Linked DNA regions of Tribolium castaneum. The protein of the gene in region 1 binds, or shares a complex with, the protein of each later gene. Links are inferred from orthologs where the notes say so. Each region holds a gene or a part of one and is shown in the gene's direction. Other genes may lie near its edges. The genes, in order: Xpd and Polr2K.

Region 1 (16,590 bases):
GTGTGATGCATAAAATTCTCGACAAGCCGGATCTGAGCCGGTGCCAGTGACATTATCTTGCCGATTTTTTATTTAATAGAAAACTGATTTAAATCGTGTCCACAATTTCACTAATGCTGGAGAAAATCAAACTTTAAATAAATTTCATGCTAATTATGATTCGTCCTACTTTCTACAATAAAACTGTTCATTTTTCTTCACCTACCAAATTCTGTTTGAGGCACACTCCCAGCGAGCCCACATGCGCCTCGGCGCTTTTCTTGAGGACGAGCATTTTGGGCACTTCACAGCAAAGTTCACATTTTTGGAAATGGTTGGCAACAAACAACTTCCAGTAGTAATAGAAAAAGAATGATGAATATGCCGGTCGGCGCCAAGTCAGTCGAGATTATTGTCCATACAGGTGCTCAAAACCATCGAGTTCATGGACACCAGACGATGACCGCGAATTTTTCGATGGCCCACTTGAATCGCCACATGAAATTATCACGATCTGGGCGCGAGACCCGGCAATGGAATTTTAGAAGGATGGTAGTCCTAGAAATATCGAACCAACACACTTTTATCTCCAATCTCCTGGTGTACGCCAATCAAAAAATCTTAAGTTTCGAATTTGCATTCTGCATAAAACAACGAACAGAACCACTCATACAATCGAAAAATGTTAATAATAATTACTCAAACGTCGTGAACAAAAAAACACAAAAATAAAAAGTTTGGCGGTGTATTCAGTTCAGCCATTGTTGCAAAATCCGCAATCGAAAATACCCAAATATTTACATAAGCCACCGCTAGCATACAAAATGTTTGTGCAATTAAAAAGTTTGTTACCTCATTTCATTGTAAAAGGTAATGAATGGCGTCCATGTACCACAATAGTAAAGATAATGAATGACGTTGAAAATTCACGACTATTAATCATCGGGAAACACGATTATCAATTTTTGTCAAGTAATTTACTTGAAATTCATGTTTGCTGATATTTCCATAAATTTATTGCACCACGAGTGAAATTAAAAATTATCCTCTTAATGGATATTATGTACATTCATCATTCAATGAGTGAAAGTTCGCAATTTTTATTATTATCACAAGTATCTTCAGATTTTTATGCAAATTTTCGTAACCGTGTCTACAATTATCACAGTTAATTTTCAGAAAATTAAAGCTCTCAATTATTGCACGCGCAACTGAGTTTAATAGATTTAATGACTACCAATGAGATAAGATAAAAATGTGTTTCTGGCGTAATATTTGGACTTTACACTTACAATAATTTAAGAACAAAGAGGCGTCGGACTGGGAAAACTAACTACACCCAGTTTGTCCTAATTCGATTAGATTAGATAGGATTTAAGTATTGATTTGTCTTTAAAAAAAGTGTCACCAAAGTTGCATCAAAAATATTCCCCAAGATGACGAAAGAAAACCAACCATTTCGCAAATGTATCACAATCACCGACCACAGTTTTACGAATTGAATTACAATACTAAAGACAAATAAAATGATTTCTGTACACATCGACCATCACGTAACAATGTTTCACCGCTGACTGCGGTAAAAGGAGTTCGATATCCAAGCGCAGACAGTCGCAACGAAAACGTACCGTAACTCGGGTATTATTAAACAAATAACCAAACAACTGACTTTGTCCGCAACTTCAAAACTCGAAGCTGGTTTTCTCATTTAAATTCTTTTCTAGGTGGAGGTTTGATATGCCCAGATGGAAACTGGTTGAATGTGCATGGTAGCTGATGGGAAGCGTAAAACAATATAGCGAATAGGAAATCGATACACACCTCTGGGAAATTTCTAGACGGGAGGGAAACACCAAGATTTCAAAGCTTCTCAAGAAAAACGCAAACAGAAGACTTCAATGCATGTTTATTACCCATTGATAAGATTTATCAGATAATAATTTATTTGTACACAAGGCAGCTAAGTTTAATTTTTTATCACCAATATGAATGTAAAAAATAACTTCAAACATTCATTTTTTTCAGAAATGCTAATTAAACGAAACATTATGTAACCAAAACTACACACATGTATACTCTGTGGACTATTTCAGTCATTTTTAAGACGATTTCCATGATTATTCACTGACGAATATAACAGATTAACCATCACTAAAATAACACTTTACGGACTATTTGAGAAAACAAAGAAAAACAAACATAGATTTTTTTAAAATTTTGGAGAAATAGATCATTTTTAAAGTTTTCTTTACCGCCCACATCGGGAAACGAAAAACTCGACCTTCGAAGCATCCTCAAAAATATTTTGCATAAACATGAGATATTTTCAGAGATTATTGCATTTTACTGTTTACAAAAACAAAATCTCATGATTTTATTTGCAACATTTGAAAATATCTGAAACCACAAACCAGTCATGATTTTATGGTCTAGTGAAGTTTGAATTTAGATAAATTTCCCCGAAAACCGGCCTAATCTAACACTACCTGTGATGTGTGCGTTAGATAAGAAAAATCACCAGTTTTCTACGTGTTTTTGAACACAAATCGTCATTTCTTCCTGTTGTTTTACATGTTAGCAAACAATGTCTATTTTTGCTTGCCTGTAATTGCCTTAATGACCCTTTATTTTCGCCGGAAAAGATAAGTATAGAATAATTAAACGATTAAAGCCAAAAACATCTGGTTTTATTCCAATCGCTTGAATTCTTGCTACAAATCAGATACAATTAAGTTTACTAGAAAACCATCTGCTCTTCCTGTTCAGTTTTAAAAGTAAGCATCCTTTTTCCAAATCTCAACACCGAATTCCTGTTTACCCGAACGTGGGCACAAATTTCCAAACATTTTGTTTCAGAAAGTGAGTGAATTCCTGAGCATTTGAGGCAGCTCATCAGCGACTTGTTTGTCATTTTCCATACTTGTCACTCATTTAAAAACCCGATCAACAACATAGAAAACAGATATCAATCAATGCCACTGCCTTATGTGTGAGCCTCGGTTAATTAATGTGAAGTTTATCTCGAGTGGCCAGCGTTCCCACCTTTACGGCAAATTATTTATTAATAAGACATTAACCTTGAAAACAGGGATAACCACAAATAAGTAAACTTGCATCCGAAAATAAACCGGTATGAACGTAAAACCTTGACTTACAGCGTAACGCAGCAATTGAGACAATTAAGGATAATTCGCTTAGCCCCCCAGATTATAACCTAATAATTAATCTGTTTACGGCTGCGACCTGGCCACTCGGGCCCGCAAGGACATCCATTAGCCCATTACTTAGCCAAATTTCCAGCTTGTGCGCTAATAGTCGCTATTAACGCTGAGATAATTACAAAAATACATAATTGTTTCTCACCTGGTAATAAGAGTCGGCCATCTTGAATCCAAATTTACATCACTCAAATGTGGAATTCGGACGGTTTGGCGGTGTTTTAACGGCACATAGCGGTTAGAATGAAAGCACATATGAAATTAACGGCTCTGTTTACGTTTCGTTAAATATTCCAGTTCAATTGTAAAATATTTGGCCACGATTTTTCTACATATCACATTACGACGCGCACTGTTTTGCCGGCGCAACACGACTGAATTAGTTTGTTTTCATTGGCTCGCTGAGAAATAGCATGAGATGGAGATATCGGGCCTCGCATGTGGAGGATGGGAGTACAACAGGTGCTCCGATCTAGGCGGCGAGACAGCGCTGGGAATACGATGACATTTAACAAAAAATTTAAAAAAATCGTTAATTAAATTTGAATTTCATTTAATTCCGAGGAATTTTCAGCCACACATCGCCACCAGTTTAATAAATACACACAACGTTGCATTTCTTTGGTTAATTGGGCATTAATTAATTAACACTTCCACAATCATTAAAAATTTCTCTCATCAGTTTCCATTAAAAATCTTTGAATAATTTTTTTTCAACTAGTACTATTCGCTACTAGTGATAGGTTTTCCCGGAAAATGGGCAAAAAATTTATCGCTAAGAAAACACAGCTTGTTTGTCGTAATTTTTATTTTTAAACGATAACAAAATAAATATTTGTAATTTCTATTCGGTTAATTTAATTAGATAATAAGCCACGAATTTTTGTAATACTGTACGGATAAACTGCAAGACTTTAAATTTGACGCCGTTTTAGCGTCATCAGGTGCACCAATACGAATTCAATCAGGAAAAAAAGCAAATTTTATAAAACCACTCAAGAACACCACACAAATCTCACCCATTCTCTTGAAAAAAATTACTCTAAATTACCACAACCAACAAAAAATACAACCATTTATTTAGGCTCCTATCGTGATAACGTAAACACGTTCTAATTTTTTATGGTTGGCCACTCTGGACCTGAAGGTCATTGTTCCGATTTTCAGGTTATCTCCAAAAATTTGTATATAAATTAAAAAAAAAGGGAAACTGTTTTATAGACGTGTTTAAAATAGGCAAAATGTTCAATAAATTTACCTATAATTTTCGCAGGGGCTGTCATTTATGTCAAAGAACCAGACGTTTATTTTCTAGTAAAGCGGGGTATGGGGGCTAGATTTGCCCAATTTAGACTCAAATTTGGATTTTTAGCGCCAACAATCAATGGAACAGTGTCGTGGGCTTGGAAGTTCACGCCCAAATTAACACAACCAGTAAACTATTCTCAAGTGCTTCAACCAAGTTTTCGTCCCCCGTGAACGCAAATGTGGCCCTTTTCGACTGCGCAATTCCCGGCACTTTGCCCGTACTTAACAAAAAATGCGTCGAATTCGGGGTTTTAACGGCGCTAGCTTTGAATTGTCGAATAAATCCCGTCTCAACTTTTGACCGCAAACATTATTTTTACGCAGATCTCCCTGTAAGTTGTTGACCAGTTTTTTTGGTGATTTATATTTTTGCGTTGAGGCCGGTTATCAAATAACCCAGCAGAGACACCCTCTGGCCAACGACGGCCGTCTCGAATTCCAAGTCTTTAGCCCCGGTGTTCACAAAGCCCCCTACAAGAGGCAAGTCCGCATTAAGCAGCTCCAGCTGGAGCAAGACAGCGGAAAGAGCCTCCACGACACTGACCGCAGTCTCGTTGATTTAAACCGTGCGGGGGTTCCCCTAATGGAGGTCGTTTTCGAGCCCGATTTGAGCGACGGCGAGGAGGCCGCAGCCCTAGTTAAGGAATTAATCGCGATTTTGCAACGCATTGGCACTTGCAGCTGCAAAATGGAAGGTGGGCCCCTTTTAAAATCAATGGCAACATTCTTACGAAATTTTTAGAGGGGGCCCTGCGGGTGGACGCGAACGTGTCCATAAATAGACAAGGGGAGGCTCTGGGGGTGCGCACGGAGATCAAGAATATCGGGTCGGTGAGGGGCGTCGCGGGGGCGATTCGGTACGAAATCGAGCGCCAGATTCAAGTGAAGGAGTCTGGGGGGGCTGTGGAGAATGAAACTAGGGCTTGGGACGCTTTGGGTAAAGTCACAGTTTCAATGAGAGACAAGGAGCAAGTGCAGGTTTTTTTTTCAATTTTGTGTCAAATTTTCGAAATTTGCTCAGGATTATAGGTACATGCCGGAGCCTAATTTGCCCCCCTTGCACGTGGCAATGGGTCCGGTGTCTCAAGGGTGCGTCAGTGTTGACTCCCTCAAAAGTTCTCTCCCGGAATTACCGGAAGGAACGAGAGTTAGACTGAGGGAAAGCTCCGGTTTGACTCTAGAGCAAAGCATTATTTTAGTGAATGATAGTTCGCTGTTAAATTTATTTGAGGACGTTTGGAGGGCGAAAAAAATTGAGGGAAAACTACTCGCCAACTTGTTGATAAATGAGTACACCTCGATTCTGAATAAGATGGATTTAGAACCGAGCCAATTGTGAGTTAAGTGCGGAAACATAGTAGTTTAGATCGGGATTAAGTTACATTTTTCAGTTCTTTTAATTCTGACTATTTTGGGGAAATTGCCGTACTTTTGCAAAATGGTGAAATCACAAGAAACACGGTTAAGCTCGTCTTGGACGAAATCATCCAAGGGAGCACAAAACGGCCACTTGAGGTTTGCAAGACCGAAGTTGTTTCACTTACGAATTATTTGTTTCCAGATCGTGAGAGAAAAAAACTGGTTACAGATTACCGACGAAGATGCGTTGAGACAGTTATGTCAGGAGGCCTTAGACCAGAACGAAAAAGTTGTGAAACAGTACAAGGGCGGAAAAACGAAAGTTTTTAAAGCACTTCTTGGATACGTGGCGACGAAAAGTAAACAAAGAGCAGACATGAAAAAATGTGATAAGATTTTAAAAGAATTGTTGAATAAACAGTAATCATGTTAATAAACAGTCGTAATGTATTTGTTGTGTTTTATTTTTTCCTTAAATTCGGGTGAAAACCCGGAATCGTTTGGCGCAAAATATCCTAAGTCTCGACGCGCATAAGATTTCGTGGGCCGATCACAAATGTCAAAAAAATTGTGATTCATATTACTTTTAAATCAATAATGTGTTGTATGTATTGAAATAATTGTAACAATTTGGCCGTACGGTATAAATTTAGCTTGATTCTAACCCACCTGACTTGAAAAAAGTAAGTTTTTATACCCTTTTTCCAACCTAACCTCACTGTAATTTTGCGAAAAAAATCATCACAAATAATTTTGTAGACATCACAGCTATGACAAATTCGCACTCTCCTTGCCAAATTGGGGACCGCGTCGAGAGCGGCGGTTACATCGGAACGGTAAAATACGTGGGCCCCATCGAGGGCAAGCCCTCAATTTGGCTCGGGATCGACTGGGACAACCCCCAGCGGGGCAAACACGACGGCCGCGTCAACGGAGTGCAATATTTCACCACCAGGTATTGATCCCCATTCATTTTTACCCCGACTTTACCAAATTTTAGAAACCCGACTTCAGGTTCCTTCATAAGGCCTGAGAAGGTCAATTGCGGGAAATCAGCCCTAGCGTCGATTGAGTCGCGCTACGGCCAGTTCGAGGATGAATTCACCGCCAAAATCAACAAACAGAAGCAGCTGCTTATCCAACAAAACATGAACGCGCCTTTTTTGGAAATGGTCGGCTTTGACAAGGTTTTCCACAAACAGAGCGACTTCACGTCGTTGAGAATCGTCAATTTGCGTGACCAAGGGATTAATTCGGCGGGTCCGCCGCTACGACTCGGAGAAACGTGTCCGAATATTGAAGAGTTGGACATTTCGAAAAATTTGCTAGTGTCTTGGGAGAGCGTTTTTGAGATTTGCCGCCAGTTGCCGAGGCTTTTTTGGCTGAATGTTAGTGAGAATTTGCTGGACTTGCCAACGATTAGTGAGAGTTTTCCAAACGTGACAACTCTGATTTGTGGGTGTATGGACTTGGACTGGGGGCACATTTGCCAACTTGGACGCATTTTCCCGTCAGTTGAAGAGTTCAGAGCTCCGAATAACAAAATCCGGGGGCTTAGCACACCTGAGGGGTTTTTCACCAAATTAAAGTTGCTCGATCTTGAAGGGAATAACATTGAGTTTTGGACGGAGGTCTGCAAATTGGGGGATTTACCGCACTTGGAGCAACTTATTCTGGAGAATATTGGGCTCCAGTTGATTGAGTTTGAGGGTGATTCCCCCAAAGTACAAGCTTTCAGAGCGATGAAAAAATTATGTGTTGTGAAAAACTTGATCCGTGAGGTAAGACTGAAACTTTGTTCGTTTCCGTTCATGAGAGGATTGATTTTAGTGGCGTTCTGTGGCTGAGTTAAATCGGCTTGAAAGTTTAGAAAATCTGCGATTTTCCAAAAACCCCATCACAGAATCGGAAGAACCTGACACTATCCATCAAATAATAATCGCAAAAATTGCCAACTTGAAAATTTTAAATGGGGTTGAGATTGAAGCCACTGAGAGACGGGGGGCTGAATACGACTACATGAAAAAGTACGGTCTTGAATGGTTGGACGCCAAGGGTACCAACAAAGAGGCTGATTTTCTCAAAACCCACAACAGATATTTGGAATTGATACAAAGTCTGTTTATATTTTTTTTGTTACGTTTTTACGGTTATTTTTGCAGAATATGGCGAGCTGGAAGAGAGTGAACTTGTCTCAAAACCGAAAATTATTAAAAATACGTTGGTCCAATTAAGTATAGTTTTTGAGGACTTTACGGTAGAAAAGAAAGTGCCTCTCACAATGACTGTGCAAAAACTTATAGTCCTCACACAGAAAATGTTCAGCTTGAGTGGAAGGCCCCACTTGATTTACGCCAGCAAGAGCGATCCAGAAATCGAGATTCTTCTAGAGGATGAAATGAAAGAAATCGGAGTTTACTCAATGCAAAATGGTGATAAAATTATCGTGAAAGACAAAGTGTGATTGATTTTGTGTTGTACAAAACCATTAATTTATTCAATAAAGTTTTTAATAAATATTTTCCAAATAAAAAGGTGTTTTCTTCTTGAATACTTGAATACATTACATAACCCTACTTATTATAGAATCTTTGAATAACTGATAGAATACGTGGTTCCAGCTCACAGGACTTAAATTTTTAGGCCCCCTTCTTCCTTACTAATCGATTAGCAGCAATAGAAACGTTCCTATTGTTAGAAAATATTACAAAAAATTGCATAACCGCACTTTTTTCCAAACATGCCATAACCTAAAAAAACTACCGGGTCAATGTAAACACCACGGTTTCACCCAGCACCATACAAAAAATGAAGTAAGAACCCGACTATTGGCACTTGAGTTGCCTCAAAACCGAAAATTTTAGACTAAACGTCGATGGCTTAATCGTGTACTTCCCCTATGACTACATCTACCCCGAGCAGTATGCCTACATGTGCGAGCTCAAGCGGGCCCTGGACGCCAAAGTACGCTCCCCGCCTTTCACAGCCCCTTTTTTATGTTAATTTTAGGGCCACTGCCTTTTGGAAATGCCCTCAGGGACGGGTAAGACCACCACCATTCTCTCCCTCGTTGTTGCATACATGCTCGAGCACCCCCATGACGTCCGCAAGTTGATCTACTGCTCTCGTACTGTCCCCGAAATCGAGAAAGTTATGGAAGAATTGAAAAAACTGCTCGAGTATTATGAGAAGTTGGACGGGGAGTACCCCCATCTCCTGGGGCTGGTTTTGTCCTCACGGAAGAATCTATGTATTCACCCGGAAGTAGGTGATTTGGGGGTGCATAACCGGGCTTGATTTTGCAAATTTCAGGTGAGTACTGAGCGCGAGGGTAAGATTGTGGACGGAAAATGCCACGCACTAACGGCGAGTTACATAAGGGAGAGGCACAATTACGATGATACAACTCCCATTTGTCAGTATTACGAAGGTTTCGCTTTGGATGGCAAAGAAAGTACGATGCCGTTTGGGGTTTACAGTATAGATGATTTGAAACAGTACGGACGGGACCGCAACTGGTGCCCCTATTTCCTGTCTCGTTTTGTGGTACTTGAGGTCACACTTTACATTGCACTTCTGACCCTTTTTCCTAGATAAGTTACGCGAATATCGTAGTCTACAGTTACCACTATTTACTAGACCCCAAGATCGCCGAAGTCGTCTCCAAAGAGCTGACACGAGAGTCAGTTGTTATTTTCGATGAGGCTCACAATATCGATAATGTTTGCATCGACTCAATGAGTGTGAAAATCAACAAACGAATTATCGATCGAGCTTCCGCCAACATCCAGTTATTGGAACGTACTGTGGCCGAGTAAATCCCCGGAAGTTTAAGTTTTCTCTGGATTTTTTAAAATTTTTTAGGATGCGTGAAGACGATCACAAAAAATTGCAAGAAGAATATCAGAGATTAGTTGAGGGGCTGCGCGACGCTAGCGTGGCGCGAGACACTGACGTCATTTTGGCCAATCCGGTCTTGCCCGACGCCATCCTCCAGGGTAATACCCGAATTAGATTTATATATTCCGTGACGTTGAAATTAAGTTGGCAACACTGAGTGATATAGACACAGCTTAATGCGTTGACAAAAATGAAGAAATTTAGTGATTTTTAGCCAAAAAACTTTGTACTTAACAGCTTGAGAATTTAAAAAATAACACTGTTTTCAAAGTTTGATAATTTTTAACTTATTTTTAGCAAAATTTCACTCGAAAACGAGGTCATTCGAATGAAACAAACTCAATAGTATAATTTTCGATTTGTGTATAATTTTTAAACATGTTTAACAAAGTTAAAAAACTAAACAGATCTGACCTGACCTGACCTGACAATAAATAAATAAAATAGGTAGCATCAATTGCGATATATTTTCCTGGATTTTCATCCTTTTTTCAACGAATTTTTTTGGAGGAAAACCTTGTTTTTTTCTCATAAACCTGGTAAACACTCGGTAAAGCCAAATTTGGTTGACCTAATTCAGTCGAATATTTTTCAACGAAACAATCTTCAACGAAATAACTGTTTCTAAATAAAAACACATGAAAAAAGCAAAAAATAATGTCATTTTCGATTAAATAAGAATCTTTTTTCTGCTGAAATCTCTCAAAAGTAAACTTATTTGCTTATTTTTTGTCTTATTTTTGAGGGCATTATTCGAAATCATTGAACTTCAGGCTAAAACAACCATACAAAATGCTCGGAAAATGCAAAAATAATCGCATTTTCGATGATATTTTGTGATTTGTCCGCCTGGTTTAGTAATGCTTTGAGAAGAATTTTGTAGCTCAAAAATGCACTTAAATGCTAGACAGAGGCAAAAATATTGCCATTTCCGAATTAATTTTTTGGGCTGATTGTTATTTATTATGTCAGTAATTCGAAAAAAAATTAAATTGCGTAATTTATTAATTTTCAGAGGCCGTCCCTGGAAATATTCGCAACGCCGAGCACTTTGTCAGTTTCCTGAAACGTTTCCTCGAATACCTCAAAACTCGGCTGCGAGTCCAGCACGTGGTGCAAGAAAGCCCTGCTGGATTTTTAAAAGACGTCCAATCCAAAGTCTGTATTGAACGAAAACCGTTACGTTTCTGTGCTGAACGCTTGGCATCTCTGTTGAGAACTTTGGAAATATCAGACTTGACCGACTTCAGTCCGGTCATTTTAGTCACACATTTGGCCACTTTGGTGGCCACTTATACGAAAGGTTTTACGATAATCGTAGAACCGTTTGATGATAAGACACCGACGGTGTCAAACCCGATCTTACATTTCAGTTGTTTGGATTCGTCGATTGCCATAAAACCGGTTTTTGATCGGTTTCAAACCGTGGTTATAACCTCTGGAACCCTATCCCCTCTAGATATGTACCCCAAGATTTTGAACTTCCATCCTGTGATCATGTCTTCGTTCACTATGACGTTGGCCAGGCCTTGTTTGCTACCAATGGTAAGTCCAGAGGTTGGTGGAGTTCATCATTGACCATTGAATGTTAAGTTATTTAAATAAATTTGCACAAAATTTATAGTATATGTGCGGAATAAACACCGTTTATTTTTTGCATTTTTGAACGTAGCTTTTCATGACTCTTTGTGAGGAAGTTTTGGGGTAATTATTCAAAAACCAAGAATAATAAAAAAAAAAAAATTGAATCATTTTTAAGGAAGAAAGTAGGTATGTTTCAACATTTTTTGGAGAGTTAAAAAAATGAGGAAACTTTTAAGTTTTATCACATAAAAATATTGAAAGATTGGTGTCTCTTACTTACAGTAATTAGTAATTAACTAATTACTCAAAAGATGCGATATTAACCTTTAAACATGAAAAAAATTCACTAGTGGAAAAAATGAAAATTTTAGCTAATAACAACGCTTAGGCCATTATTCGTCATTTATTACAGAAAAATAACTGAACCATTTATCCGTGGAAATTACTATAATTTATTTATTGAATAAGAACTGAATTAACATTTAAAGTCAAATATCTTTTGATTTATTAACTTCAGACATAACATACAGTTTTTAGAAAAATAAAAAAAAATGGATGTTCCATTTAATTAATTAGGAACCTGTTCAAAAATCGTGCCAAAATAATGCAGTTGATGTTCCGCAAATTTGATAAAAATGCAACTACGATATATTTCACCATTTTTAAATATAATATGGTCTGATTAGTTGGAAAAAGATGAACAAACGTGTCCGTAACATAAACACTCATTACAACTTACAAAAAAGTAAAAACTTACCCTTTCTGTTGTCCTTGGAGCCCTGAAATCAAAACATTGATATCAAAAAAGATTGCTTATGATTTAAACCAGTTAATAGTAGGTATTTCAGAAAATGGTAACAGAATTTTTTGTAATTCGGAAGTTGAAAGTTGTATTACTGTGAAAGAGTATATTGGATCTTATCTTTAGAAATTTCTACTATTAAGTTCAAAACTTTTGATACTTTTGATTTAAAATTAATCAATAAATCGTCATTCATTCCGAAAAATTTTATTCTTCAAAAATAATAATTACATTATTAACAAACTTGATAATGTACCCATTATTTTATTTTAATTTATTTTATTCGTAGTATTGGCAAAAAACGCTTGGTTCCATACCATATTCAGTGAGCGGATAAATTATTATTAACTATTATCTTATTAAAACCTAAGATATTTTATAATGGCAGAAATGCTCGAACAAATCAATTTCTTTTTAGCCATGTCGATAGATCTTTTAATTGTTGAACCAAAATAAATAAAAATAAAAAAAACTATCCAAAAGAGTGAAAAGCGTAAATGTTTAATACCATCAAAAAACAAACACAATTTCAAATATCTAACAAAAAATAATTCTTTTATTTAATTAAAATTTTCGAAATGTTCCCACATTACGAAGAACTTCCGGACTTTTCAAATCGTCTAAATTTTGTGGTCTATTCTCTGTTTTCTCTCCAATTGTTTCCAAAAATACAAAAAGAAGGTAATAGGTTTGTGTTTGAAACTACTCTCATGATTTTTTTTGTCGAAATAACAAATTTATTAGTTTGCTTTTTGTTAGTAGTATTAAAATTTATGTTGTCACCTAACATTTCTAGAACGGGCTTTCGTTAAATTCTATCGGTTGCGTAACACCCATCAGATCATCTCCATTCACTACTTTAGCAAATATGCAACCAATAAAAATCTATCCGACGATAAGTGGTCTTAGAAACAGAGGGTAAGATGTTTCGAAGAGACTAAAAAATTAGGGATTCCATTAAAAAAATTCGAGAGACCATTACTCAAAAACCTAAAGTTGTAAAATTTTCAGTTCAATTGAAAAGAGAATTAGCCTGTTGGACAATTTTTGCATTTTAAAGTTATGTCATGGAATATCTGTAGGGTGAAAAACGATATCTTTTAATGAAGACGGCGAAAAAATCATACGTATAATAATAGCACTGGAGGAAGAAAGTCTCTTCTCTTCCTTAGATTACTGTACTCTGCTTCGCTTTGGGCATTAGTTCAACTTCGGGAGAGAACCTATGTCTGTCCTCTCTTGGTATACAAATAACTACGAGTGTGGTTTTAAATAATTTTGCCGCTAACTGTATACTTTTAACATCATTATCATCATCTCATTGGTCGTTTTAGATCGTGTCAAAAGGCAACGACCAAGTCGCAATTTCGTCAAAATTCGAGACACGCGAAGACAATGCTGTTATCCGAAACTACGGCCAACTCTTGGTCGAAATAGCCGCCAATGTCCCCGACGGAATCGTCTGTTTCTTCACCTCTTATCTCTACCTGGAATCGGTCGTGGCCAGTTGGTACGACCAAGGCGTCATCGACAGCCTCCAAAGATACAAACTCCTCTTCATCGAGACCCAAGACTCGGCAGAAACGAGCTTCGCCCTCATGTACTACATCAAAGTATGTTTTTCCCCCAGCCTGTCCACAGTCGGTAAAGTAGGAATTTCCAGGCTTGCGAGTCGGGCCGCGGGGCCGTGCTGCTCTCCGTCGCGCGGGGCAAAGTCTCCGAAGGGGTCGACTTCGACCACCACCTGGGGCGCGCAGTCCTCATGTTCGGCATTCCCTACGTGTACACCCAGAGCCGCATCCTCAAAGCGCGCCTCGACTACCTTCGGGACCAGTTCCAGATCCGGGAGAACGATTTTTTGACCTTTGACGCCATGAGACACGCGGCCCAGTGCGTGGGGAGGGCTATCAGGGGCAAGACCGACTACGGTATCATGATTTTCGCCGATAAGAGGTTTTCCAGGTCGGATAAGCGGTCAAAGTTGCCCAAGTGGATCCAGGAGCATTTGAAGGACTCTCTGACGAATCTGTCGACGGAGGAGGCGGTCCAGGTGAGTTGGGGGTTGTGAGGGAGAGTGGCGTGAGTTTGACTTGCAGATTGCCAAGCGGTGGTTGCGACAGATGGCGCAGCCGTTCACTAGGGAGGACCAGTTGGGGGTGTCTTTGCTCACTTTGGAGCAGTTGCAGAATTTGGAGGCGAGTAAAATCCAAGAGCAGGCGCAACAAAATTGATTTGTTATTATTTTTTACGTAATAAAGTATTTTCAAGAAAAAATGTTTTATTCCTGATTTCCTGACCCAATTGAGCGTAAAATGCACTTACACTCCTTTAGTACGAGGTATCTTGTTGATTGTTTCCGGTGTGCGCTGCAAGTTCAGTGAAGGAGAAAACTAGTTACGATTTTACTTGGAATAGTACTAATTGGGTTTGAAGTTAGTTAGAATATTTAAAAAGGAAACTGACGATTATTTATTAGACAAGAATGCATAATAGTTGTTCGTAACCAGAAATTTTAGGTTTTTTGCGTGAATAGAACGTAATCTGAATGCCTGACTCGTTTTTATGTCACCAATAAGAGAATATATGGATAATTCTGGTTTCTGATAAGTAGCGAGATTGCTGATGGTTGATATTAAAAACTGGATTTCCGTAATTAACTCGGATGAAGATAATTATCTACACTCATTCGCAAACTATTTAAATAGTTGTAACATTTCGCAACAGAAAATTAACGATTTAATCTGAAAAAAAAACAACCGAGAGGATAAAAAATATGTTTGGTGCAATGCATTATATTGTACAAGCTCGTGCTATGTAGCATGTTATACACTAATAACAATTTTTTTTTTAATTCTCAAACTAAGGTAGGTACGCTTAGGGTATGTGCAACTAATAATACACAAGAAATATTCATTAAGGTTCAATGAACTGTTAAAATAAAGGATTTGCGTGAAATAATTTTGGAATAATGTATAAGTAGATATACATACAAGTGTTCTGAATCCTCACACTGACAACATAAAATTATCTCGTGAAAAATCTGGTAACAGATTTGGACGTATGTCTCCTATTATGTATGTATTTTATTTTTGTTAGCAATTTGCAATACTGCAGTCGAAAACGATTGTGCTTGACAAATATTATACGTAAAACCTAACAAAAATATTGAATTATTGTTAGTATATGGTTCGTTTAGCTCTTAGAAATGAAGTTAAGAATTGTCAACCGAATTAGAAATTCAAAATCACCTTGTAGAAAAAATTAAATCCAAAATTATAACTGATTGAATCTTATTAGTTGTCATAATACGGTAGCAAAGTTAGGTACAAGCAATATTTAAGCGGTGTCAACTCATGAAAAGATAAAATTCCTCGTCAGACAAAGCTGAAAACTACCCAGATTAATTTTTTTGACTGATTACCAAATATGATTTAATTTCTTCCTAGTAACAATGAATGTTAGTTTTTGTTATAATTTTACTATCAGATTGGGCGAATATTTCGTGAATAAACTTGAATTTTTGGCTCAAAAATCTGTTTAAGAGGTCGAAAACTACAAAAATTAAACAACATTTCGCCTATTTTGGTACTTTTAAAACCATTTTCGCCCAAATTTCTTGTTTTTTTAAGTTTTTTTAAAGATAACTCAAAAGACTCACAATTTTTTTCCTATACTTATTATTTATTAAATATTAAAGTGGTAGATACATTAATCGTACAATAAATGGGCATAGGGTCAGTTTACAGAACGCGAAATTAAGATCCAATTCAGAATTAAACTGATAAGTATAAGTTAATTATAAGTATAAATATAAGTATAAGTATACGTCTGAAGTAAGTATTTTTCATAAATAGGGAGAACTAAATTCAAACAGGCGAAACGAAAGAAAAAATAGCTAAATTCTTAGCTCACGATATGGATATAAATTAATTTAAAGCCGGTTTATAAAAAGCATTGTTAAAACTTAATTCATTGTTCAAATTTAACAGTTTAACAACGCGAATGGACCAATCAAATTTATTCTATTGGGTCATATGATCAGTTAATCACGCATTTAATTGCGAATTAAATTAATGACGCTTCTATAAACCGGTCCATAGACATCTACTATAGTTCACTATCTTCTTAGAAAAATAGACAGAAACGTAATACCTCAAATTTTCAAGGTAAGCTAAGAAAAACTCCAGAAATTTTTTTTACAACAAACGTGATTTATTGTTCAAAACTCTGCGAATACGCACATGAAAACTCCTAAAAGTTATTTTTTTAATAATAATAATTAGGTGCCTTTATTTCTTATTATTGTGTGTTATCTGTTTAATATTTTTGTTTGCCTTATCCATTATTTAACTATAGCCAATTTTTTATTGGCTAGATAGAAACAACTGCAAAAAAACTGATAAAACATTAAAAAAGCTGAAATCGAATTTAAAAGTTAAC
Region 2 (14,731 bases), about 23 Mb from region 1:
CACGTCTGCTACCGTTTGTAGCAAGATAATGAAAATAAATTAACCGCAAATGAAAAAAAAAAATGCACTGACCTTTGTCTTCTGTTCCGATGCCATCTTCTTCTTAAACGAACCTACTGCAATAGAAGAAACAACGAATTTAGAACAATATGCCCTTAAATTACTAGTTGAAAATATCACAGATTTGATTTAATTTTCAAAAAATAAATCACTGCAAACTTACCCTTTAATCCGGATTGTTGTTTCCTTCTTGAATTCTATTCCATTGGCACTAACACACACACTAAACACTAGTCACCGAATTTAAAATTTAAACCGGAAAATTTAGATTTAATTGAGCACACGTCCGTTCGCGACAACGGCAAGTAACAAACTGAATATTTGAATAAATTAAACGAGACGGCACAATAATTTAAATAAACCGCTCGTCTCGCGCTCCCGAAGTGACCCGTGCCACTGCTCGCTGTCGACTGATCCGCCCTCGCCGCCTGCGCCGCACACCTAACCTCCGGATACGTCACGGGTGTGACGTCATCGCAAGTCTAAAACAGCTCATCACCAGAAATATTCACTGGCACAATCCGTCAAATTTAAAAACATTTATACACAGAATTATTCAAAATAGAACATTATTGATCTAGAAAAATTCATTATGACAAATATATTTGACTATAAACGTCTAAAATTATAAAAATTTCGCATGCATTTAATGGAATAATAAAAATGCATGTTTTTATTTAAACAGAAACTCGCAATGTGAAATTTTAGTGCTAAAATTAGTGGTATTGCAATGCGTATAGTCACAAATTGTTTGTTTGTTTTGTTTTGTTGAAAATTCGGTAGGTTCCAAAAGTTGGGTTATGTTGTTACCTGAAAATAATAAAATTTACACTAAGAATTTTGTCTCCATCTCTGCCCTTTTCAAAACGTTATGATAGGATATTTAGGGCCAAAATCTCTACCTTTATTATGTGCTATTGCCAGATAGAGACAAAAGTTCAGAAAGTAGGGTTAGCGTTATTACGCTCTTTTCTGAAGTGTTAAAGTTTAACTTTAATGGATTTTGTATGCTTTTCTGCACTTTTAGAGCGTTATTAATTAGTATTGAATATGTTTAAGGGCAGACAAATCTACCTTGAGTCAACGACATAAACTTTAGTGAGATTTATTGAAAAATGCACTTCTCGCGTCAACCTTTCCATGAAAAAGGGTGTTTAATCGTTTATAAAGGGCGTGTTAATGTGTGTTGTTAAGTTTACCACGTAATAAAACATAAAGTACAACTTTCCTATAAAAGCATTTTGCAAAATTCTTATTCATTATTTTCACTATTTTTCCTCGTTCCTTTGTGCAAACACGCCGGTGATGTGAAATTTTAGTGCGAAAATTAGTGGTATTGTCACAAATTGTGTTAATTTTAAGTCTCCAGAATATTCGGTTTCAAAAGTAGGGTTATGTTGTCATTTGAAACGTAAAAATTTTCACATTTATGTATTTTGTGCACGTTTCTGCTCTTTTAGAGCGTTATTAATTATTGTTGCATATGTTTAAGGGCCGATAAATCTAACGACATAAACTTCAGGGCGATTTATTGAAATGTTAATAGGGCAAAAATGAACTTTTCGTGTCAAACATTTTCATAAAAAAGGGTGTTTAATCGTTTATAAAGGGCGTGTTAACGTGTGTTAAGTTTACCACGTCATAAAACATAAAGTATAACAACTTTTCTATAAAAGCATTTTGCAAAATTTTTATTCATTATTTTTACTATTTTCCTCCTTTCCTTTGTGCAAACGAGCCGGTGATGTGAAAATTAATGCTATAGCCACAAATTGTGGTAGTTTTAAGCCTCCAAAAAATTCGGTTTTAAAAGTAGGGTTATGTTATCATTTGAAAATTTAAAAATTTTTACTTTTATGGATTTAGTGTTCATTTCTGCCTTTCCAAAGCGTTATGATTGGATATTTGGGGCAGAAATCTTTACCTTGTGTCAAAAATTTCAAACAAAAGCCTAGACAAAAGTCTCCAGAGAATTCGGACTTTGTGTGCTTTTCTGCTCTTTTAGAGCGTTATTAAGGGCTGATAAATCTACCTTCAGTCAACGACAAAGATATTTGCTTTTGAAAATTTTCTATTTTTTAAGTCTAATAAGGACGGGTTTATAGAAGCGTCATTAATTTAATTCGCAATTAAATGCGTGATTAACTGATCACGTGATCAAATTCAACCAATTTGATTGGTCATTCGCGTTGTTAACTTTTAACAACGAATTAAATTTTAACAGAGTTTTCTATAAACCGGCCGTAAGAATTTTTAATTTTTAAAACTTATTCATTAATTATAGTATTCATTTTATTTCTTTATTGTTAAGTAATAAGAATACTTCATGTCTTAATAATTGTCGAAATAGTTCGGTAGACACCACAAATAATGTTTAATTTTGACTCCAAGCCGGTCACTCGTTTCAATTCGAAAATAAACCAAATTTTGCAGTTATTTAGCATTGATCAGCGCGTTGGCAACTGAAGCAGATTACGCTTTTATACCGGAAAATCCTGCTGACGTGAACTGGCACGAAAAACTCTGTCATAAGTTGTCTCAGGTACATTTTTCAATAATTTTGTGTAGTGTGTACCACGACTTTCTCTCTATTTTTTGTTGTTTGGCAAAATTAGATAATTTTTTCTAGGAACGCCACATGGGCCAACGTCTCAATATTATTATCGTGGCTGAAGGCGCTATCGACCGGAATGGAGACCCAATCACTGCAGAAATGATCAAAAAAGTCGTCGTTGATAATCTCCAACAGGACACCAGAATAACTGTTTTGGGGCACGTGCAACGTGGGGGCAACCCGTCTGCTTTTGATAGGATTCTGGGCTGTCGTATGGGGGCTGAGGCCGTGATGGCGCTAATGGAGGCTGATGAGAATACAGAGCCGTGTGTGATTTCCTTAGACGGCAATCAGGCGATAAGGTAAAGTTAAATTTTTGTGAGTGTTAAATTAAGTTGGCAACATATGTTTTTCTATGCTATTTTTTCTATCAGTTGTTTTTTGAATCGCATTTTGTAATTAATTTTTATTTGAATTGCCTAGTAACATTAATAATAATTTATGTTGGCAAGCCCTTATATTAAAAAAAAAGAAATTTGTTAAACCTTCTAGAAAATGTTTTCACTATTTTTTGTTTTGCAAGAGAACTGTGGGGTATTATCGATTAAACATAAAAAATGGTAAATTATACGTCTACTTATTTTAATAAACACTGATAACAAAAAAAACAAAAAATAACGTAAAGAAAATACAGGAATTTTCTCCAAATTAACTCTTAGATTCTACTTTGCGTTTTTTAAGTTTTTTTCTGTTTTTGTTTAGAATCCTTCGCGATTATTCTTTAGCCTTGTTTTTGTACTCTCTAGATTTTTTTCAGTTTTTTCTCTTATTCTTTCGTGATCTCAAATCTGAACTCTTCTACAGATTTTTAGATTTTTTTTATATAAATTCTTCTATAGATGTTTATTTGCAATTATTTTCTAAACTTTAGCCAAAATTATTTCTCATTGCTTCTATTCCTTATCAAATTCATATAAATTTTACTAATTCTCTTCAAATGAAATTTTTTGTCTAATTTTGTTTAGATTTTTTCCTGAGTATTTTTTAGCATTTTGTTGCTGAATTTTTCTCTAGACTTTCTTTGATTTTTTGCTCAAATCGTTTCTTAACCTGGACTTCCGAATTGTTTTTCAGATGCAATAAAATAAAGTAAATACAGAAATTTTCTCTAAATTCTCTTAGATTCTACTTTGCGTTTTTTAAAGATTTTTTTATTTTTTTTTCAAATTATTTAGATTATTTTTTAGTATGGTTTCTGTACTACGTCTTTCTTAAAATATATTCTTCTCTGATTCTTTTGTAAACCGTTTCTAGATCTTAAATCGGGACTCTTCTTTGAATTATTTAATAAAACAGCTTTTTTTAGATTACTTTATAAATTCTTCTCCAGTTGCTTCATTACAAGTATTTTTTGGACATTACACTCTATTATTAATTTGCTTCTATATTTTTTCGACTTTCTACAAATTCTCTTTTAGATTGTAGTTTGCGTTTTTTTTATTTTTTTATATTTCTGTTTAGAATCCTTTGCGATTTTTCTCTAGCCTAGTTTTTGTACTATCTAGATTTTTTTCAGTTTTTTCTCTGATTTTTTCCTGATATCAAATCTGAGCTCTTCTACAGATCTTTAGATTTTTTTTTATATAAATTCTTGTATAGATGCTTATTTGCAATTATTTTTTAAACTTTAGCCAAAATTAATTTTTCATTGCTTCTATTCTTCCACATTTTTTCTACATTTTTTAAATCCATGTAAATTTTACCAAGTCTCTTCAAATGAAATTTTTTCTCTAATTTTGTTTAGATTTTTTCCTGAGTATTTTGTAGCATTTTGTTGCTGAATTTTTCTTTAGTTTTTTTTTATTTTTTACTCAATTCGTTTCTTAACCTGGACTTCCGAATTGTTTTTCAGATGCTTCTTCACAATAAAATAAAGTAAATACAAAAATTCTCCTAGATTCTACTTTGCGTTTTTTAAAGATTTTTTTAGTTTTTTTTTCAATCATTTAGATTATTTCTTAGTATGGTTTCTGTACTACGTCTTTCTTAAAATATATTTTTCTCTGATTCTTTTGTAAAACCGTTTCTAGATCTTAAATCGGGACTCTTTTTTGAATTATTTAATAAAACAAGCTTTTTAGATTATTTTATAAATTCTTCTCCAGTTGCTTCATTACAATTATTTTTTTTCGACTTTCTACAAATTCTCGTTTAGATTATACGTTTTTTTATTTTTTTTTCTGTTTTTTGTTTAGAATCCTTCGCGATTATTCTTTAGCCTTGTTTTTGTACTCTAGATTTTTTTCAGTTTTTTCCTGATCTTAAATCTGAGCTCTTCTACAGATCTTTAGATTTTTTTTATAAATTCTTCTACAGATGCTTATTTGTAACTATTCTCTAAACTTTACCCAGAATTATTTTTCACTGCTTCTAGTCTTTTAGTCTTTTAGTCTTTCACATTTTTTTCTACATTTCTCAAATTCATATAAATTTTACTAACTCTTTTTAAATGAATTTTTTTCTTTAATTTTGTTTAGAATTTATTCTGAGTATTTTTTAGCATTTTGTTGCTGTACTCTTCTCTAGATTTTTCTTAACATTTTTCTTTGATTTTTTTGCTAAAATTGTTTCTTGATCTGAACTTCTTCCAGATGCTTCTTCATACTAATTTTTCCATATTATGCTTTAACATTATTTGTGTTCTCTTATCTAGATTTTTTCTAAAATTTTTCTCTGATTTTAAGCCGTTTGTGAACTTTTAGATCTTATAGATTCGTTTATAACTTTTTCTCTAGATTTTTTTTATAATAATTTGGTGAGCTGTATTTATTTTTTTTTAATTAACACTTTCTCTACATTTTCCAATTTTTTTTACATTATTCCAGTTTCGATCAAAATTGATCTGTTATACAACTTATTATTCTAAATACAAAGTTGGATAGTTCAAAAAGTGCATTTTTTCGTTGTAATAAAAAAATTCTTTACATCCTATTACTACTCATTTTTTTAATGATCTTAAAGTTTTCTAAATATTTTATTATCATTTGCCAAAATTCTAAAAAGAAGATTATTTTCTGTGTTAATTAATAATTAATTAATTAATAGTTAATTTTAAAGTTATTTTGCTCGATTCCAAAATAATTGTTTCTCTAAGGTTGCCGTTAATGGATTGCGTGAAGCGAACAAAAGCCGTCTCACAGGCAATGGCTGATAAGAAATTTGATTTGGCGGTGGAATTACGTGGAAAGTCATTTATGCGCAATTTGGAGACTTATAAGTTGTTGACTCGACTCAAGCCTCCAAAGGATGCATTTGATGAGCAAGGACATGGAAGGGTGAGTGTTATTTTTTAAATGTTTGCATGTTTGTATGCGTACATAATGTGATAGAAAATCGGCTGAAGTTTGTTTTCATTTGTTTTTGCAAAATTTTGATTAATTTCTGCTTTAGCGTCTAACTGATCATTGTTCGGTGAGTATGATGCTTAAAATTTGGCTTTTCAATTTTTCGAAATCTTTTTATTTGGTTCTTATGTTTTGTTGTGTCGTCACTTTATTTGTGTCATGTATTCAATTGAATTCAGTATCAAAATTTCAAAAATGTTCTTCAAATGTTTTGAAAATATAGTAATTACAAAGATTTCTGCTTTATAGTTTCTTTGGCTTTTAACACTTAAGTGGTGCTAACATTTTTGTGTTTAATTAAACTCTGTATACTATTCTTTATTTCGCTTGTGTTGCCATTCAGGAAGGTTTCACAGTGGCCGTAATGCATATTGGGGCTCCTGCTTGTGGCATGAATGCCGCTGTACGTTCTTTTGTACGAAATTTTATCTACAGAGGAGACACAGTTTTGGGCATTCAGGAAGGAGTTGAAGGTCTTATCGCTGGCAATATAAAACAAATGGGTGTGTATCAATTTTTTTATTTTTAGCTAGTTTTTTGGGTAAAAATTACTCTATTTTTTGTAGAAAAAATATAGCTATTTTTTAATTGAGAACAGATTAGAAACTGTATTAGATAGTTCTTTCAAAAGCATTTACTTACTTTTGTTTTTTCTTCCACTATTTAGTTTTTTCTTGCTTCTTTCTTTTTCCATCTTCATTTTTTACATATATTTTTTTGCTCATAAACACTTTCAAAGGCTCAAAAGGGTCAAAAGCAATAAATTCTCGATGAAGAGAACTAATTTTTCGACTAATTTGAGTAAAATTTTGCCTAATAAGTGGTGATACAGCTCTCGAAAAAACAAAAATAACGTCTTCTTCGGTTAAACAGTTGTTTTTTCACATAATTTCATGTAGAATATTGCGAAATTAGTAAATAAATAACCAACTTTTCAACTCAAAAACGCATGAATAACGTTTGATTTTTTGTAACCGAGATTTTCGTTTAAAAATATGGGATAAAAAGCAGCAAACGTATCGTAATTTTTAATTATAAGATCCTCTCACACTTTCTTATGTCATATCATTTTTTTTCTACCTTTATTTTTGTTAAATCATCTTATCGCTCAAAAAACCGTCTTTAAAAGTTTGAAAGAAACATGTGGTTTTTCGATCATCATTAACTTCGTTTTCGGATAATTTGGTTAAAATATTGCAAAATTAGTAACAGTAAAATAATTACTCTGAACAAGATTTAATGATATAATTAAAGTTATTAACTTAAAAACGCAGTAAAACTCTCGAAAAATAGTTTAATTAAACTTTTTCATGCAAAATGGACGAAATAAAAAAAATTAATAAGTTTTTTCCATATAAATATGCGTAGACACTCAGGAAATACATTATTTTTGACGACAATAGTTAGTTTTTTGTTTTGTGGGTAAAATATTGAAAAATAACGAATTTTTTTCAGATTGGGCCGAAGTGGCTGGTTGGGTTGGCATCGGGGGTGCAAATCTGGGCACCAAACGCACCCTTCCTGGCAATCGTATGGGTTTAGTAGCCGCCCGATTGGCCGAATTTAAAATTCAAGGTTTACTCATTATTGGCGGCTTTGAAGTAAGTTTTAACTTTATCCGGCTCGAAGAACTAAAAATTGTGGTTTAGGCATTTGCAGCCGCTGTACAATTTCTAGACAGCCGTAAAGATTTTCCAGCTCTCAATATACCAATCGTGGTAATCCCCGGAACTATCAGTAACAATGTACCAGGGACGGAATTTTCACTAGGTTGTGACACAGCCTTGAACGAAATCACCGAAATTTGTGATAGAATCAGACAGTCGGCTCAAGGCACGAAAAGGAGGGTTTTTATTATTGAAACCATGGGCGGGTATTGCGGATATTTGGCCACACTTGCAGGTAATATCGATATTAAGTTGGCAACATTGTATGAAATGAAGACAGTTTGTGTCTCAAAACGTAAAATATTCGACCCTATACAGGTTGTTTCAGAACTACTTAGTTTTTGACGTAATTTATTTCTTCCAAAATCCTCCATTTTAGAAATAAAATATAGGAGTTCGTATTACTTGTATTATCTTATTTCTGATACACCTTGTATATTTGATGCATGGGGTAATTAAATATCTATTAATGATATAAAAAAGGTAAATATTAATGTTTAAGTTTGACAGTCAATGTTGCCAACACATTCATTATTCAGCATCGCCAACTTATTTTCACATGTTAGGTCTCGCTGGGGGTGCGGATGCTGCGTACATTTACGAGGAAAAATTCACAATTAAAGACTTGCAACAAGATGTCTACCACATGGCTACGAAAATGTCCGAAGGTGTACAACGTGGTTTAATTTTACGTAACGAAAAAGCGTCAGATAACTACAATACCGACTTTATCTACAGATTGTATTGTGAGGAAGGAAAAGGCTTGTTTAGTGCCAGGATGAACGTTTTAGGTATTTATATAGACGTTTGTTTGTTTAAAAATTTAATACTTTTTTTGTGTGTGTATTGTTAAGGTCATATGCAACAAGGGGGTTCCCCCACACCTTTTGACCGCAATGTTGGTACCAAAATGGCGTCCAAAGCGGTCGAATGGATGATCAACCAATTAAAAAGCAATATGAGTTCAGACGGCTCAGTCAGTTGTTCTAGTCAAGACAGCGTCGTTCTGTTAGGAATCGTTAAAAGACAATACAAGTTTACACCAGTCGCTGAGTTGAAAGAACAAACCAACTTTGAGTACGTTTATAAATTATTAAACTGTTTTTTATAATTACTTTAAATTGTTTTAGCTTGCGTATGCCTAAAGAGCAATGGTGGTTGAAACTGCGCCCTCTATTGCGTATTTTGGCAAAACATGATTCGACATATGAGGAAGAAGGGATGTATATGACGATTGAGGATCGCAGTTTTATTAATTAAAGGCAACCGTAGCCATTTATAGTGAATTTGTATTTTTTAGCTTGTTTTATTTATTTTATTGTGTAGTTTATTTTATTAAATGAGATATTGTAAACAAATTTTGGCCATATTGTGATGACAATATCGATATTTGAAGACGGGTCAAGTGTTACAAAGTACGATTCGAGCTGGGTATGTGGAATGGACGTATTATATTTCAATAAAATTTTAATAAACTATCAAAAATTCCTGCACCTTTTTGAATTTCGCGCTTGTATACGTTGGCGTTGCCAACCGTTGGAATAACAAAAAAAAGATGAAATTCCCTAAGTCGGCATGGTGGCGTTGTTTTTATACAAAATTTATTAGAGGAGAAAACTACGTTCCCGCTCGTTTGTATTAAAAATTGTGCTAATTTAAGTGATTAGGATGTCGGAACCTTCGACCAAAGACTCAGGGGCCACGAAAACTCCCATGGTTTACATTTGCGGAGGTACGTGAAAGTGAGGTTATGTTTTGATTTGAAAATTTTCGAAAATTATTTAGAATGCCACAATGAGAACGAAATAAGGCCGCGGGATCCAATCAGGTGCCGGGAATGTGGGTACCGTATTATGTACAAGAAGAGAACCAAACGATGTATCCTTTTATTATCAATTACTAACACTTGCAAATTTTCAGTTAATTTTTCCTTAACTTTGATCCAGTGGCCGTGTTTGACGCCCGGTGAAAAAATTGTAATTAATTAAGGTTGGAATAGAGTGTTTTTTACATTGGGGTTATTATTTGCAAACCTGTCTTTCCCCTTTCCTACGTCCGACAATTCAAGCACCTTGGGCACCACCTGGGGCAATGCATCGATTTCCCAGGGCCCAGTTGTAGCGAAAATTTCAAGGTCTCGCGCAAGGGCAGTGCAGGACCACTTTCTGCAACGCAACCTCCTCTTTAACCAAATTCAAGGTCGTCCATGTGCGATCAATAAAACTAAATACACGCAGGTTCTACGCCGGTGTCTGAGCGCGCCGGTCGCGACGTGTGGCTTCGCCGTTGAAAACGCCGAGAGTAAAAAATTCGCCGATTTTTGGACTGACAATTGTCGGAGGAGTGAAGGTGGTGCAGGACGTGGGGGCCAATGATGGCCGTCTAGGGCTGCGATAACTGCGTTGTGTTATTGCACCACGTGCTGAAAGGGCGCCGGCGAGGTTTACCGTTGCGTGCCGGTTTCCCGCCAGCGCACTGAGGTAATTTTGATTTTTGAAGTGTTTTTTTGATTTTCCCCAAAATGTTTTTTTGAGCCTAAGAGACCACAACCATGGTGTGATTTTATTAAATTTTATGGAAAAAACCTATCACGTAGGATAGGTTTTAAGGTTTTGAGACATTGGACAGCCATGCATTTTGTCGGATTTTTTTTTTTTTTTAATTAATTACGGCAAAACTGTTCGAATATTATGGAACTATTTCATATGAAACTATGTAAAATGATCCTTCGTAAAGAATACCTCAATATCTATCAGACAAGATGGGTTTTAATTGATTTTGAGACACTTGTCAATTTTCAATTATCAAGAAATTGCAAAAAACCGAATTTTTCATTTTTTTTATTTTCTCAATTACTGCAAAACTATTCTAAAAAGTGGACCATGTTGGTGCTGGCTTATGGAAAATGTCCCGGTGAATCGATTGGCGTCGAGAAAATTGTCAAATTTCGAATAGTTTTTTAGTTATGAATTTTTTTAAATTTTACTTATTTTTGCTTTCTTCTACAATTTTCTCGAAAGCTATTAGTCGGAGAACAATAGTCTTTTTTGCAGAAGATAGATAATTAAAAGAGCTTTTCAACGATAATAAACTTCATGGTGTAATCTCTAATAGTTCCGGAGTTATTACATGATAAATGTTCCAGGTACCGAAAATCGACAAAAATCTCGACGAAAAGTGGAACAATTGCGACGAAACTATAAGACCGACAGCAAAACGGTTTGTTCCATTGTAAAGAACAGATCAAAATCTATCAAATAGGATGGGTTTTGGCATTTTTTTTTTTCTCAAAATTTTGAATTTTTTGGAGACAGGGGGGGGGGGGGTGTTAACAAATTTTTATTTTTTTTATTTTCTCAATTACCGCAAAACTATTTAAAAAAGTAGAACTATTTCAATTCTAGCTTATGTAAAATGATCCGGGGAATCGATTGGTGTCAAAAAAATTGCAAAATTTCCAATTGTTTTTTAGTTATGAATTTTTTTAAATTCTACATATTTTTGCTTTTATATCTAATTTATACGAAAACTATTAGTCGGAGAATAATGTTCTTTTTTGAAAAATACAGATAATTAAAAGAGCTTTCCAACGATAATAAACTTCATAGGGTAATCTCTAATAGTTCCGGAGTTATTGCTCGATAAATGTTCCGGGTACCGGAAATCGACCAAAATCGCGACAAAATTGGAAAAATCTTCAAACTTCAAAAAATCGAATCTATTGACTTTTATTCTACTTCTAATAACTCGCGAAGGTTGTAAAGGCATAGAAAAATTCATAAAACTTTGGTAGCGTGAGTTTTTTTTTTAATTTTTGTGAAGGTTCTAAGAGTTCACCAAAATTTTATTCTAGTAATTTTCAAATTTTAAATCACGTGAAAAGTTGATATAATACGTAGAATGAGCCGTAGAATTCAATGGAACAAACCGTTTTGTTATAAGTTTATGGTTTTCAGGAAAAACTTGCTAGTTTTGAAATTATTACGTTTATTTCAATTTTTATGTAATTTTTTAAACACACGTACGTATGGCTTGTTTTAAAATAAAATTATTATTATTATTATTATTATTATTATTATTATTATTTAATGTTAATTACATAAAAGAATTGTAGCAAAATTCTGTCATGTGCAAGAAAATAATTCCAGTATTTTTAAGAACAAATGTGGATTCTGTGAGATTATTACTTTTGAGATAAACTTTTTTTTTCTGAATATTTTCCATTTAGCAGATTTCCACAAAATTTTAAATAAAAATTATGTTCTCTATTTCATACGCGAACAATACAAGTTACTTCAGAATAAATAAGTAAATGGGGAGGGAGGTTTGTTATTCTCCCATTTTTTACATTCATTAAGTGAATTCTTTTTTTTTATTTTTTAAACCGGGCTTTGTTTACGACAAAATGCGGAAATGGTACATTTTTGTAGTTTATTTACGCTGTTAACGTTTCACTGCTGTAATACGAGGCATCGGAATGATAATAATATCCCAGTTGTAATAATCATAGTAAGAATTGGTCGTTATCATTTTTTATCTTGTTTATTCTTTTTATTTTTGCTTTGTATTTTAAAAATGATAATGTACCTACAAAATAACAAAATCTAGTATTAAGCTAGGGAACAGTTGCCTGTTTAATAACTAATTCTCTGATTTATCTTAGAATTATTTTGTCAAAGGTGTATTAGGTCATTTTGAAAGATAAAAGGTGTTTTGAAAATCAAAACACATTTATAGTCGAATGAAATAATACATAAATTTGTGTTTTTTTATATTTAAATTCCTGGTTAAAGAGGTCTGTACTTCGAAAATAAGTTGGCAACATTGAATAATGTAGTCACAGAAGATACGATACTTTTGATTATAAGATTTTTTTGTTTCTACTGTCTTCAGTATTGCCAACGAAATTCGAAAGTCACAGATTCATGTTATCGCTTCGTGTTATCGGTAGAGTTAGACTTTTTTTAAACTATTTTTTGCAAAATATTCATGGAGGTAAGATATGAATCATCCTGTATATGTTTTCGTATTTTCGACGAAGTTTTTATTTGATTGGTTAAAAAGGATAGCAAATGTGGATGTATTTAAAGATGTCATTGACATTTAATTATGTTGGCACACTGACTTATTCCTAGTAATTCCCCTGCCAATCAGTGTCACTACTCCAAATTATTCACAGTGGCCAACCTAATTTCAGCGTCACAGCCATCTTGATGGAAAATTTCTGTCGACGCATTTTAATATTTTTAATCCCTCTTTTGTAGAGAAATTGTCCGCCACCGCCGCCCCCTCCGAAATCGTATTTCCCATCGTTACGCAACCGAAAACCCCCTTCGTCGCGTGCGCGTGCGCACTCCGCGTCCACCTAAAATCCAGACATCCATGTATCCAAAACAAGTGCTCTCGCGACAAAAGAAACCGAAAACGCAGTGAAATTAACGAGTTTTATGTAATGTCAAACTCGGAAACGCTCTTCTCGTGTGCTAAAGTGGCCCCTCTGACATGTTTCAGCCAATGTCAGCCCGAGATTAGGACAATCAGACGAGGTAAATACGTAGAAATCAAGTTGGCGTAAATGCGGTGTTGTCTTGTCCTACAGCCGGCGTGGCCTTGAAACCGTATTTTCAAGATCTCTGTTGGCCTAGGCCAGGGCCTACTGTCGTTTCGTTTCACTTTCAAATTGCTATTTTCGGATCAAGTCACCACCGCCGCCGCCGCAGCACACTTGTCCTTTCTTCTTTTCCGATGCGTAATCGCAATTGCCGTGCATTGCTCTTCCGATGATAACAAAACAAGTAACAACAGAGCGCTGGTTTGTTTTATTACGCCGTAACATTTTTGAGTGAAAGTTGGTTGTACAGGTGGAGCAAAAGTGCGCTCCCCGATTTACTTTCTTCCCTCTGGTTTTATTACGACGAGGGCCGGCGAGGGTGACTTGATCCGGTGCATTTATTCGGGAGTGCGGGGTTGGCTGTGGAACAGGAGCCGACTTGATTACTTGTTTTTAGGGTTTCTCTTTTGTTTTAATCGGACGCGCGTTCGGTTATCTTATCAGTATTACGTATGACGTTCGTTTTATTCGATTGCAGTTGTGGACTTGTGTGTGGTTTATTAGAAAAGTGCAGGGAAAACCAACAAAGGACTGAAATGTAATAATAACACCTGTTGGTTAGACAAGGTACCTCTCTCAGGTAAATAAACACGGGATTTTGGTGGATTTTACGACACGATTTCATCGTAGAAAGCGGCGAGATTAAGTAAAGATTAAATAAATTATTATCGTTGCATAATGGAGTAAACAAAGCTACTTTGAATTTCTTTACAAAATATGTAATAAAGAGACTATTGTTGGAAGCGGCAGTCTTTTGTTCTGTTTATGTTTACAGTGGTGACTGCATGAAGTCATGATTTTTTTTTATTAAATTAAATTTCCATAAATTATCACTAATTAGTGTCATTTTCCTCGAAAGATTTTTATTTTAATACACGCCTCATTTCCATTCATTCATGACTTGAGGAGGTATAAATTGCGATAATATCTATCATATTGCATTTATTTATACACTGTTGCCACACACCTGGTGATTCACCGCAAAATCAGTTTTTAAAAATACAGATTAAAATTTTAAATTTTTGATTAAAGTGAGTTGTGACTTTGAATTAAGTTGGCTACATTAAATTCAATGTAGCCAACTTAATTTCGAAGTCATTGGCCACTGTGATCTGAAATTTAATTGGAGGCATGATAGTGTTAGAAACTTATACAGGGTGATTCAAAAGCGTCGGACCAACTCGTATGGTTAAGGGACGTTTATTAAAGCTTATAAATGAAATCAGATTTTTTTCTAAGCAATTTGATTTCTAATTTTCTTTTGTTTTTTTTTGGTTTTAATTGTTTTTCTTTTGCTTCCAATGATGTCATATTTAATTATTGTTTACTTTGTGAGTTTGTTAAATGTTTGTAAGATTTGTCTTTTTCGCTAAATAAATTCAAAAACTGAACTAAAAACCTAGCTATGAAGAGCTTTATTTCGTGAAAGAAGGCT

What was found.
Region 2: Xpd (region 1) and Polr2K share a complex: the UniProt entries of both Homo sapiens proteins name them as parts of the TBP-based Pol II pre-initiation complex. The link is inferred for Tribolium castaneum from reciprocal best matches to the Homo sapiens genes ERCC2 and POLR2K.

Annotation. Positions count from the first base shown.
Region 1 is NC_087394.1:27,618,703-27,635,292, forward strand, and holds Xpd (general transcription and DNA repair factor IIH helicase subunit XPD), read left to right. Parts: upstream 1-8,493; 5' UTR 8,494-8,672; coding exon 8,673-8,677; intron 8,678-8,728; coding exon 8,729-8,828; intron 8,829-8,873; coding exon 8,874-9,128; intron 9,129-9,176; coding exon 9,177-9,410; intron 9,411-9,457; coding exon 9,458-9,678; intron 9,679-9,728; coding exon 9,729-9,862; intron 9,863-10,779; coding exon 10,780-11,309; intron 11,310-13,484; coding exon 13,485-13,763; intron 13,764-13,813; coding exon 13,814-14,200; intron 14,201-14,246; coding exon 14,247-14,381; 3' UTR 14,382-14,429; downstream 14,430-16,590. Other genes in the region: Pkn (serine/threonine-protein kinase N), read right to left, coding at 206-274; GatB (glutamyl-tRNA(Gln) amidotransferase subunit B, mitochondrial), read left to right, coding at 4,439-4,521, 4,570-4,837, 4,885-5,200, 5,248-5,483, 5,527-5,840, 5,897-6,020, 6,067-6,288; Tbce (tubulin-specific chaperone E), read left to right, coding at 6,635-6,819, 6,865-7,645, 7,695-7,980, 8,027-8,328. UniProt on the Homo sapiens protein: ATP-dependent 5'-3' DNA helicase. Component of the general transcription and DNA repair factor IIH (TFIIH) core complex, not absolutely essential for minimal transcription in vitro.
Region 2 is NC_087394.1:4,866,540-4,881,270, reverse strand, and holds Polr2K (DNA-directed RNA polymerases I, II, and III subunit RPABC4), read left to right. Parts: upstream 1-9,225; 5' UTR 9,226-9,353; coding exon 9,354-9,417; intron 9,418-9,470; coding exon 9,471-9,563; intron 9,564-9,631; coding exon 9,632-9,654; 3' UTR 9,655-9,697; downstream 9,698-14,731. Other genes in the region: Pfk (ATP-dependent 6-phosphofructokinase), read left to right, coding at 2,690-2,976, 5,769-5,949, 6,065-6,085, 6,362-6,521, 7,474-7,619, 7,668-7,920, 8,252-8,476, 8,540-8,762 and 1 more. UniProt on the Homo sapiens protein: DNA-dependent RNA polymerase catalyzes the transcription of DNA into RNA using the four ribonucleoside triphosphates as substrates.